Linked DNA regions of Mus musculus: region 2 is reported to be linked to region 1. The links are microRNA targets in miRTarBase. Many come from high-throughput screens and were not tested one by one. Region 1 holds a microRNA gene; the other region holds the end of a gene's coding sequence.
The links. Region 1 holds the annotated microRNA mmu-miR-1188-5p (UGGUGUGAGGUUGGGCCAGGA, at 3,038-3,058, opposite strand). A microRNA usually pairs through its seed, bases 2 to 8, with sites in the 3' UTR of a target mRNA and lowers its output. Matches are read on the target gene's strand: a 7mer-m8 pairs with bases 2 to 8, a 7mer-A1 pairs with bases 2 to 7 and ends in A, and an 8mer does both.

Region 1 (5,370 bases):
CTGCTACTGGGCTGGGAGGGATGCAGGGAGAAAAGCCGCTGCACTTTGCACAGCATGTGGAAAATGATGTTTTAGAATCACCTGGGCTGGGATATTTCGGCTGTGGCCTGAGCATCTTGGGGAGTGGTCTGTCCTGGTCCTGGACACATAGCAGATAGTGCCATCTAGTGGACCAGCACCCTGTGGGGGTCCCGGACCTAGCCCCCAGGAGTGCAGGCGACCCTTGCTCCCAAGTGGCTAAATCACTCAGGGGCCATGGCCTGCCAGGAGCCTTTTGTTTTGTGGACGATAGCCAGCTCTCTCGTCTATCCAGTCCAACTCCTTTAGAGGTTTCCGGGAAAAACAGATAATTCAAGTAACAGCTGTTGGCTGCCGGTGTCTGCTTTCCGTTTGAAATGAGGCTGGGGGATGCGTGTGTACCTGTCTCTAATTTGCCTGGTGGCCCTGGGAGGCTCTGAGAATTGGCTCCGTTTTCAGGGAGAAAAACCGAGGCTCACTGAGATTGTATTTGGTATAAAGCCCTGCGTTTCAGGCTGTACTTACCTTAGAGAACCCCCACAGTCCCCTTGAAAGTGCAGGAAGCACTTTGGACAGAAATCTGAATAAGCCAATCATAAAAGTAATTTATGAGTTCATCAGGCAGATTTGGACACTGCATAGAGGTTAGATGGCAGAAAGGAAAAGCTGTTAATTTCTTAATTGTGGTAATGGCATCCCACGTATTTTTATTTTACAGATTGTGGCAATGGATATCTTTATGTTTTTATTAAGGAAAACGGCTTTGCTTAGAGATAAATATTCTGAGATACACAGAAGAGACAATATGATCTCTAGAATTAGCTTCAAACCAGTGCAAAAGATGAGGACTTTAACAGTGGGAGGGGAGGGGGGTGTCCAGGGCTCACATGAAGCAGGGGTGTGTGTGAATTTGATGGGCACTACATCTGGAAGATGAAATACAGGTTAAAACTGTGCTGTTTAAGAACACATTGTTTTATCCGTTTGTGGTGTCTGGGGAAAAAAAAGCATAATAAAATCTGACTTTCTTTTTAATCAACAAGTGAAAAATGGAGTGCAGAGGTGCCGACGGCGTCCAGAGAAACGCTTAACAGCTCGGAGGGGGCTTTGGGTACTCAATAAAGGAAACACAGCATCCTGAGGCTGGTTTACAAGGATCTGAAACAGCACGGGACCGAAGAAACACTCCCTGCAAACTGGGTGGACTGAAGGGAAAGTGTTGGGGGGCACTCTAGAAACAGACACCCACCAGATTCACACCATCTACTCCCTGATGGGACCTCTAGCACCGCCAGACCCTCCCCACTGAGCTGCAAAGACCCCGCAGCAGCATCTCTCCTTAGGGCAAAACCAGCAACCTGCGTATCTTTCTGCTGGGACACTGTGCCAATTTAGTTAAGAGAACAGCACTGTCACCTGTCACACACATCGAGTAACTGGCTCAGTCACACTGTCTAGTTTTCGTTTTTTTTCTTTCTTTCTCTCTTTCTTTTTTTTAATTAAGCCTTGCTCGAAAGGTAAGAATTGATGCTTTTCCCCCTATCGCTGTTTGCAGCCGCCCCGCCTCGGCTGCTCTCAGCCCCCCGCCTGAGTTTGCGCTCAGTCACAGGACAGCAAACTGACTCACCTTGAGACCCCAAGACCTGCTGGTCCACTAACCCCTTATGACTCTCCATCGTTCCCAGAGCCCACACTTTTCTGGCCCTCCTGCAAAAACCACAGGCTCTTCTTCACTCTTCCCTTGGGTTTCCTGGGCTCCTGGCCACTTCGCACTGCCTGCAAGCCCTCTCCTTCATCTTTCATTCCTCACTTTGGAAAGCAGACACTGGACAGCTCCGACCCTCAGCCACTCGCCCGCCGCAGCTCCTGCTGCACTGCAGCACAGTCTCTGTGGGAGAGGTGCAGCCTGAAGCCACCCGGGACACTGTCGCCCCCCGCCCGCCCGCCTGCCCGCCCGCCCGCCCGCCCGCCCGCCTGCCTGCCTGCGTCCTCTGCATCTGCTGCAATTAAAAGCGCTGCCGCAGAAATCCAAAGCGTAGGTCCCTCTTCGTGTCTCCCCCCTCCTCATTTGGGAACGCAAAAACTGTAGCCCAGGCAGCCCCCTTGTGGCACTTGGGGGCGCCACAGACTCTTGGCTGCTGTTTAAAGATTTCAGACCATTTCCACTGCACCGTGAGTTGGCACAAATCTTAAGTGGCCCAACTTCTATCGGATGCAGAACTCTGCTTTCTGCTCCTTTTTAAGAGTCCCCTCTCCACTCCTCTATCCCCATCCACATCTCCCTCTGAAGGAAGGGAAGTTGCCAGAGTTATCCTGTTGAATACAGCTCTGACAAGCAGACAGGTGTCTGGCAACCGTAGCAATAACCAGGAAAGTTTCTGGGAGAAGGCTGTCTCTTTGAAGGATGTTTGGTTCCCCTCTCTTATCACACAGGAATGGGATTGTCTCTCAGAAGGTTCAGTTTCCATTTCTCTCTCACAGATGGCAACTTGAGATGAGAGGAAGGTCAGGGTCTAAGTTTGTGTTTGAGGAGGTGGTCGGGGGCTCTCCCACCATAAAGGGGTCAGTATAGGGCACATCCCTAGTGTGAGGGGCTTGCCTTAGGAGGTCTCTGTTCCCAGCTTTAAGCCCCAGATGCTCAGAGGTGACACTTTTCATCGAAAAGTTCACCAGAGCCCTGGAAAATTCTGAGCACTCTAGACTGCAGTCAATACACAGAGACCCTAGCCCCCCACTAACTCTATTTATAATTTAATTACAGATGAATAGGGCCCTCTCTGCATCAGGTTAATAATGTCATTTTCATAAGCCTCCGCTAATAGGTAGGTGCCTACACCTAATTTTGACCCTGCCCTTCAAAGGGATTGGGCCACAAAATAGCTGAGATCTCAAGGACTTCTGGGAGGTGCTTATAACTAGTCAATCCATCCTTTGCCCACCCACACCACTCGGCACAGCCTTGCTAGGCAGTCTTCAGCAGCAGGGTGTGGTGGGGAGCCTCGGAGAGCCTTGGGTTTCATCCTGGCCCAACCTCACACCAGCTGGGAGACTGTGAGTATTGGACTTCTTTGCTTTTCTGTGCCATGGTGTCTTCACCAATCCAATGGAGATCATGAGACTTTTCCTCTTTGTGAAATTTCCCATGTGAGTTCTGGACAGACAGCCCACCCAGCTCAGGGCTTCAACTAGGGTGACTTGAATCCCGACTGCCATCACCCACCCTGATTGCATTGGTGTGTGGCAAAGTATTTCCTGTTTGTTTTCTCATAAGAATGATTGCAGTTCGAAGACAGGAAGCCGACTGACCGACCGACCGATCGACCGACCGACTGACTGACAGACCGAGCGATCGGCCGACCGGCCAACTGACATCATCATTTTAACCCTAACCTCACCCTAGTGATCTAGGAGGTAAGAGTGTTGCAGTGTCTGGTGTGAATGAGTGGAGAGTTAGCCATTTCCCAGAGGCTATACCATGCCCTAAGCATGCTGCCTCCTTATCTTAGCTGTCACTTCAAGGGAGAGACAGGGAAGGAATATCTCTGTATGTGTCTCTCTGCTTTATAAACCCAAATGCTTGTTATAAACCATGCAAATGCTAGTAAATGCAGATGTGGGCTCTGCAGGGCTTTCTGCTGCCTGCCACATCTCCCACATCTCCTGTGAGTTCCTCAGGCTAAGAGCTGCCTCCGGGCTGGCTTGATTTGTGTGATTAAGCCTGCAGAGGGGACTCTGCCAGGAGATGTTGTAGCGTGTATGCAGCATGGAGCTTTGAAAAGCCAGACTGTTGTCTCTCTTATGACACTTGTTACATGTCACCCTCCTCCTGGATCCCACTGGCGACTCCACGAGCGTTTATAAAGTGTCTGGTGGAGGCTAAGCTACTCTCATCTGCTTCAGTCCTCACTTCAAGCCGGTGAGAGAAAAACTCTCATCTTCATTTCACAGGGAAAGCCCGAGACTCTGAAAACTAAAGGGAATTGTGTGGCCTCACGGCTACAGAGGGAGAGTCAAGCTTAGCTGTGCAGCTTGAGAGCCCCCTGGCTCTACTGCAGCTGCTCTTGTAGCTCCCACTTCTGCAGGTCAAACGGAGCTGGCCAGGCAGCCACTGCTCAGTCAGGAAAAAGAAAAAAAAATAGAAAACAGGGGGCTTTGCATTCAGAGGCTTCTCCCTAGCAACTGGTGAAGGGGCAGAGAGACAGAGAGAGAGAGAGAGAGAGGGAGAGAGGGTCTCAGAGCTGATTAAGAGCTAGAGACAGAGCAGCTGCCCCCCCTCCCCTAAGGGGAGCACCACGCCCTCCCCTGGGCTGCTGGAAGAACAGCAGGGCAAAAGGCTCAGTAACCAATGGCAAGAGAGCATAGGAGAAGCACCCCCAGACAGGTGGAAGAGGCCCCAAATTTATTCTCAGGGTGGGTGGGGGTTTTGCTATTGACGACAGCACAGAGAGGACCCTGAAGAGAGGGAGCTTGCCTCCTCTAAAGACCTGAGGGCCGAGACATAAGCAGGCTGCTGTTGGAGCTGCGGAGGCTGATGTAAAAGACAGGGGAGGGCTGAGAGGAGCGTCTCAGTACGTGAGCCCCCAAGCAAGCGGCTGGGGAGAGAGAGCTCACTGCTACTGGAGGCACCCGAGCAGAGAGGCAGGCCGGTAGGTGATGGGGAAGCTGCAGCAGGTTTCTCTAGCTGGCTAGCAGCCCAAAGGGACAGGCTTTTGAGAAGCAGCCCCAGTGCCCAGTCGGGAGCCAACAAGTGGGGCTGGCTGGAGGGTACCTGGCAGGGGTCAGGACAAGGATGGGTGGCCTTTGCCGTGACCCTCACCAGAGGTTAAATGGCAATGGCACCCTGATTGGTAGCGTAGTACCACTGAGGCACTGAGGGAGAAGCACTGTGATTGGGGGAGAGTGCTTTGGGAGAGTGGGGGTTGGTGGGAGCTGTCCAACTCCTCCTTAAGGGAGGGCCAGCTGGAGCAGCTAAGAGTCTTCTCTGGCTGATTTCAGGAGTGCTAGCCTGAATCATCTGTAAGGTAACAGTCTGGTAAAGTGGGTGGGGGGCATAGAAAAAGGGTCTGTCTGGTTGAGGTATCAGCTGGTCATAGAAAAAGCAGGCTACTTTTCTGGAGGCTAGATGCTAGCCACAGAGTCAGAGGGCTGCATGACCTGAATAGGGTGGGAGGCTTGGAAAAGCACCCTACCTAGTGGGAAGACTCAGGAGCCTGGGCACTGATGGCTGTGGCTGAAATGCTAGCCTATTAATGGGGGTTTCACTGGGGGCTTTTAGCAGATATACCCCTCAACCAGACACACCTGTGCTGTGTAGTTTCTATGGGAGACTCTTGTCATTGCTCCTGGGCTTGT
Region 2 (5,370 bases), not on the chromosome of region 1:
TGTAAGGGCAAGTGCTCTTATCTGCTAAGCCGCCTCACCAGCTCCCAGCCACATTTTTTGAAAGTCACTCTTTAATCCTACCAAAGATGACATTTTATTTGGTGGTTGGAATTTCTTAGTCACCAAGAGAAATGCTGGCACGTGTGTTAGTTCATACCTATTATTTCTGAACTTTAAAGGTAGAGAGGCAGGAGGATTACCATAAATTTAAGGCCTACAGTGTGAGCCTTAGTCTCAAAATTCAAAAGGTAGGCTAGGTATGGTGGCACACTAATCTCAATACTTTGGAAGGCAGGGACAGGTGGATCGCTGATTTCCAGGGCACCTAGGGCTACTTGGTGAGACCCTTTCTAAAAGGCACGGGGTCGAGAAAAGGAGAAAAGAAAATAGGCTTCCTCCGATGAACAGGAAGAGAAGATGGATAATGGATCAGAGAGAGAGGAGCTGTAGAAATGATGTGTGCTTAATGGACTAACGGCAACGGTCAAGGGGGAAAGGGGAGAAGGCCCTGGCCACACAAGCATCCTGTCTTAGCCCTTGGAAGGCAGAGGAAGGAGGTTTATGGGTTCTAGAGTAAGATCCTTCCTCAAAACAAACCATCAGTGAGTGTCCTTGAAGATAAAGGTGTACTGTCACTGGCCAGGACAAGAGTGGAAGAGACTGACGTGGCTGAAGATCTGACTCAAACTGCAGAAAGATGGAGAACTTTGAGTGAGGGCTTCTGTCTATCCAGCCCCTCCCTGTTGTTGGCCGACATGGCACGGGGCCCAGGAAAGTGGCTGGGTTTTGGTTTTAGCTTGCATTCGGGGGAGGACCATATAGAGGTAGCTAAGGATGATCAGCCCTTTTGAGTGCATGTGTGGAGGGGTCACTGCTACCCAGTCTCTCGTCCTCCAGGCAGGCACAAGGGACAATACTGAAACTTTCTGCTGTATTCCCCCAAGGAGCAGGGAATGGCAGTCGTGAGGATCAGTCACTGGCGAAAGGTTGGGTCTGGAGGACAGCTGGATCTACAGTGCGAACAGTCTGACTGTTGGCAGATGTGAGAGCAGGCTGGGCCAGAGTGCCTGGGCCGGGAAGAAGAAGTGCTATCTTAGTTTCTCTTCCTGTTGATGGGATAAAATATTCTGACAAAAGCATCAGCTGGGAGAGAGGGTTTTTATTTTTTGTTTTTTTCCTAGCTCACACTTTAAGCATGTCACGGCAGGGAAGTCAAGGCAACAGGAGAGTGTCTCAGGGTTTTACTGCAGTGAACAGATACCATGACCAAGGCAACTCTTACAAAGACAACATTTTATTGGGGCTGACTTACAGGTTCAGAGGGCCAGTCCATTATTTTCGTTTGTTTTGTTTTTTTGTTTTTGAGACAGGACACAAAAAGCACATGTTACCTTAAATGAGCTGTAGTAAATCGGGGTAACAGCTGTGTGGGGAGCTACACAGAGAGAGAAACAGTGGCAAAGGCTACCTCCAGAGACTCGGGTGACTCTGGAGCCAGTAGGGCCATGCATGGCCAGCCTCAGAAAACCTCCAGTGAGATGAAAGTGGGACCTAGCACAGACTGCTCCCGGGCTAGGACTCTAGAGGAGTTTAGCTCTAGGGCAGGAAGCCAGTCCTGAAGTGAGTCTGGGCAGAGAAGGGAGAAAGGCCCATAGAATGGGGCAGGGAGGGGGATGGGCTCCTGAGTGAGGTAAGGACTTAAGCTGCCTCCTCTGAGGGCTCACAGATTGCTAAGGCACCCTTCTCCCAAGTCCTGAGTTGCCCATCTCTATAGGCACCCACTCCTGTGCCCGGGCTGCCCACCCAGCCTACCCCAGCTAAGGGAGAAGCACTTGGCAAAGGGAGTCCGTGTCCTTGTCCTCATGGTTTTTAACTTTCAGCCAAAAGATCAATAACTTTGCCTAAGTGTCTTTGAACCTCTAGACCCCTATGAGCGACAGTGGGAGAGAGAAAAGGGCTGGGGAGGAGCTGGAAGGACAGAGATTCCCGAGGAGGGAGATTGTTGCTAATGATTTATTAGCCAGACAAGGACCAACAAACAAATCCTAACATCTGTTCTCACCAAAACATTTCTCAGACAACAGCAGCCATTGGATCGGGGCCCAGATGCGAAGGCTCAGAGTGCCAAGGCTTCCTAAAGTCCAGTTTCTTCAGGAGGAAAAACCAGGGCACAGGAGGCAGGATGGCTTCCCTAGTACATACAGTTCCTTGCCTTGGTTCCTGGTGACTTTCAGAAGGGAGCAGTGTGAGTGTCTGTGTGTGTGTGTGTATGCAAGTATGCATGTGTGTGTGTATGTGTTTATGTGTGTGTATGCATGTATGTGTGTATGTGCATGTGTGTGTGTATGCAAGCATGTGTGTGTATTCGTGTGTGTATGTGTGTGTGTGTATGCATGCATGTGTGTGTGTGTGTGTGTGTGTGTGTGTGTGTGTGTGTGTGTGTGTGTGGTGTGTGTGTTGCTATGAGGAAGCACAGATCCCACATTTGGTCCTCTGACTTCCAGGCTGCTTTGGAGCAAGGAAGGCAGACTTGTTAAGGGGACAGGGAAAGGTGGAGTGCAGGGAGGTCCCAGTGCAGAACTCTGGAGAGCAACCAGCTTCTTAGCTGAGGAAATCTCTCTGTCCCTTGTGGAGAAGTGAGGATTCAGAGGACGGATGGGGAATGCTGAGAGGGGTTTCAATCCTTGACCTTGGCCCAGGCTTTCTCCTTCTCTGGCTTGTTTCTTGATTTGCATAATGAGAGGACTGGACTTAATTGATAGGAGAGAAAGAAACGCTGCTCACCCTTCCCGCACCCACAGCAGACGCCACTCATCCGTCACCTGCTCCTTTCTGCTGAGCTTAGATCTGACCTTAATATCCTTCCAATGCTGCATGCCAGGCAGCCGAGACCAATGGATTGGAGCTGGCACGCGGGGTGACACCTCCTCGCCATCCGTGTAGCAGATGAAGCTCTGCTCACCTGTAGTCTATCCCACCTGCCTTCCCTAAGAGAGGACCCAGGGGTCTGTGAAGGTCTCAGGACACAAAATGCCCCAAGCTACCCTCCCAGATCAGACTTACCCCTAATAAGGCCTGATGGGGAGCCATGAGTGCTCTCTGTCTAGAAAGGGCAAGCCTCTAGGGCCAGGGGGGCTCATGATGAAGGACAGGGTCTTACTCTGCCACACAGTCCTCAGAATGCAGCTCTGGACCATCTGTCCTCTGCAGACAGAAGGACAGCTCTGGGTCATACCCTCTGCCTCTTTGGCAGAGCTACAGTCTCTAGGAGAAGGTATATGGTCTTAACCCTTTGGCCTCCAGAGGGGATTTAGGTTCCCGTCCATCCCTCTGCCTCTCCTCTTCTCCCTTCCCCCTCCCTCCCTGAGGCAGTTGCTTCATGCCAAGCACTGGGCCAGTACTTTAGAGATAGCTGAGCATCCCCCAGGGCTGCCTCTAGTGAATCAGGCTCTGCAGGAAGGGGAGATAGAAGAAAAAAAGAGCAATGGGAGTCTGGGCTGAGCAGGGGCCTGGCAAGGGTGTGTTGGGAGGTCAGGCCAGGGAAGGCTTTGCAAGGGGAAGGGCTTGTGGTCTTGAGTGGGGTTAAGGGTTGCCAGGCAGCAGGAGGGCGGTCTTGTAGGGATTGCTGTGGGCAGGACTGACTTGGTAGCCTTTGGTGAGTTTGGAGAAATATGGTGTGGGTGCTTGAAGTGGGGCTGACGAAGTGGGACCTCGCCTCAGTATGGAAGAGCTGGAGGACCAGGCAGCTGACTCACAGAGCCCATTTTGGCTTCCTCGGGGAAGAACAGGTCAGAGCTGACAAGCCTGGTACTAGGAAGGCAGTTAAGCCACTCAGTGAAATCATGGTGTGGCTCAGACATAGAGTGCTTGTCTAGCACGTACCAAGCCCCAAGTTTGATCCCACATACTGTAGGAGCACACAGTGGTAATTCCAGAACTTGGGAGGTAGAGGCAACTGACATTATTGACAGACAGAGACTGAAGCAAAGGGGATGGAGATGTTTAGGGACCCCACATTTCTGGCTGGATAGCTGGGTGCTGGGGGTTAATCAATCAGGGTGTGGAACACAGGACACTGTGCGTGGTGCATGTGTGTGTGTGTGTGTGCGCGCGCGCGCTCATGCGCGCGCCCACACAGGGTGCGAGTGAGGTTGGTTCAATTGATGTTGGAGTGGCTTTGGAACCCTGGCAGAGCCTGGATGGACCCAGGGTTAAGAAGGCTGGTAGGGTACAGGTGAGCTGGGCTGGTGAGGGCCAAGCAGGGACCTTTGGTGGCAGCAGAGAGGAAGCCTGAAGTAGGACCTGACGCAGGTACAAGGGAAAGAGTCTGACTCCTTTAATAGTAATACCACATTCAGACATGACTGAAACTCTGTGGGGAAACTGTGAGGGTGAGCACACAGTGTGGCAGCCTCCTCCTCTGAGCCCACTGGCAGTGACGCTCTCCAGGGAGCTGGGTCAGTGTCACATGTGTGTGAGGAAGGCCTGACCAATGAGAGGCAGCCTGGGATGGAGAGTGGTTGAAGGAAACCTGAAGTAGGGGCAGGTAGGGCTTGACAAAGCTGAGTCCACGTGAATGTCCAGGAAGAGCCTTAGGCCTGGAGCTGGGCAAAGGTTTTCGGCAGCGTGGAACACTCCATCTCGCTTCAGCCTGCTGACCTTCACCTTGCCCGATATTCAGGAGGGGCTCCCTCTTTCTGCTCGACTCCTTGAGCTTATCTTTCCCTGTACCTCCCTTACCTGGCCTCTTGAGATAGGCCTGGACCAGCACTTTCGGAGGATGGGGTGTCCAATGGGCGCCGTTCCCGATGGCCCTTCCACCTCAGCATAGATATTACTAGGAGCGTCCCCAGGGCTGCCCCGCCCCATGGCATAGAAGGCTATGGGTTCATCAGGCTCCTGGTAGATGGGGTTAATGGGTGGGGCCTGATGCAGTCGTGAAGCAGGACTTGTATAGACTTCAGGAGGAAGCTGAGGCTTGGCGGGGATGGGCGGCCTGGGTCTGGATGCCTGGGATGTCTAGGGGGAGAAGGCAAGACCAGGGAAGAAAATTAATGAGAACCGTGGAGACAGGGTCTAAGCCCAGGCCCATCTCAGCCTGAGCCTCTACCTATGACAGCCTGGCTTCTTCCTCTGTCCTGTGTCCCCTTCTCCAGGCCCTGACACCCCAACACCCCCCATCCCACAGGTTGAGTTGACCAATATAGTACCGCCTTCTGTTGGGAGGCCCATACTTTCTCTGTGTGTCCTGAGGCCTGGGCCTGGCCCTGTTGGAGGAGCAGGCTGAGCTGGGTGTCTGGGTCCTGTCTTTTGCTTCCAGAGTCTGAATCAGCCCTTAGGGAAAGTCCAGCAGGCTCAGCTGTCTGCAGG

Region 2: miRTarBase lists Sh2d2a as a target of mmu-miR-1188-5p. Seed matches in the 3' UTR shown: 7mer-A1 at 3,844-3,850, 7mer-A1 at 3,673-3,679 and 7mer-A1 at 2,447-2,453.

The regions. Positions count from the first base shown.
Region 1 is chr12:109,609,529-109,614,898 of GRCm38, reverse strand. Mir1188 (microRNA 1188) reads right to left here and starts at 3,077; the gene lies at 2,958-3,077. The region is part of intron 2 of Rian (RNA imprinted and accumulated in nucleus); the gene reads right to left. It overlaps Mir341 (microRNA 341), which reads right to left and starts at 3,399; the gene lies at 3,304-3,399.
Region 2 is chr3:87,851,716-87,857,085 of GRCm38, reverse strand. Sh2d2a (SH2 domain containing 2A) reads right to left here. Exons shown (of 7, transcript NM_021309.3): 6 at 5,211-5,363; 7 at 1,364-5,019. The coding sequence ends at 4,678. Among named protein-coding and RNA genes, the nearest start is that of Sh2d2a, 7.6 kb to the right of the region's middle.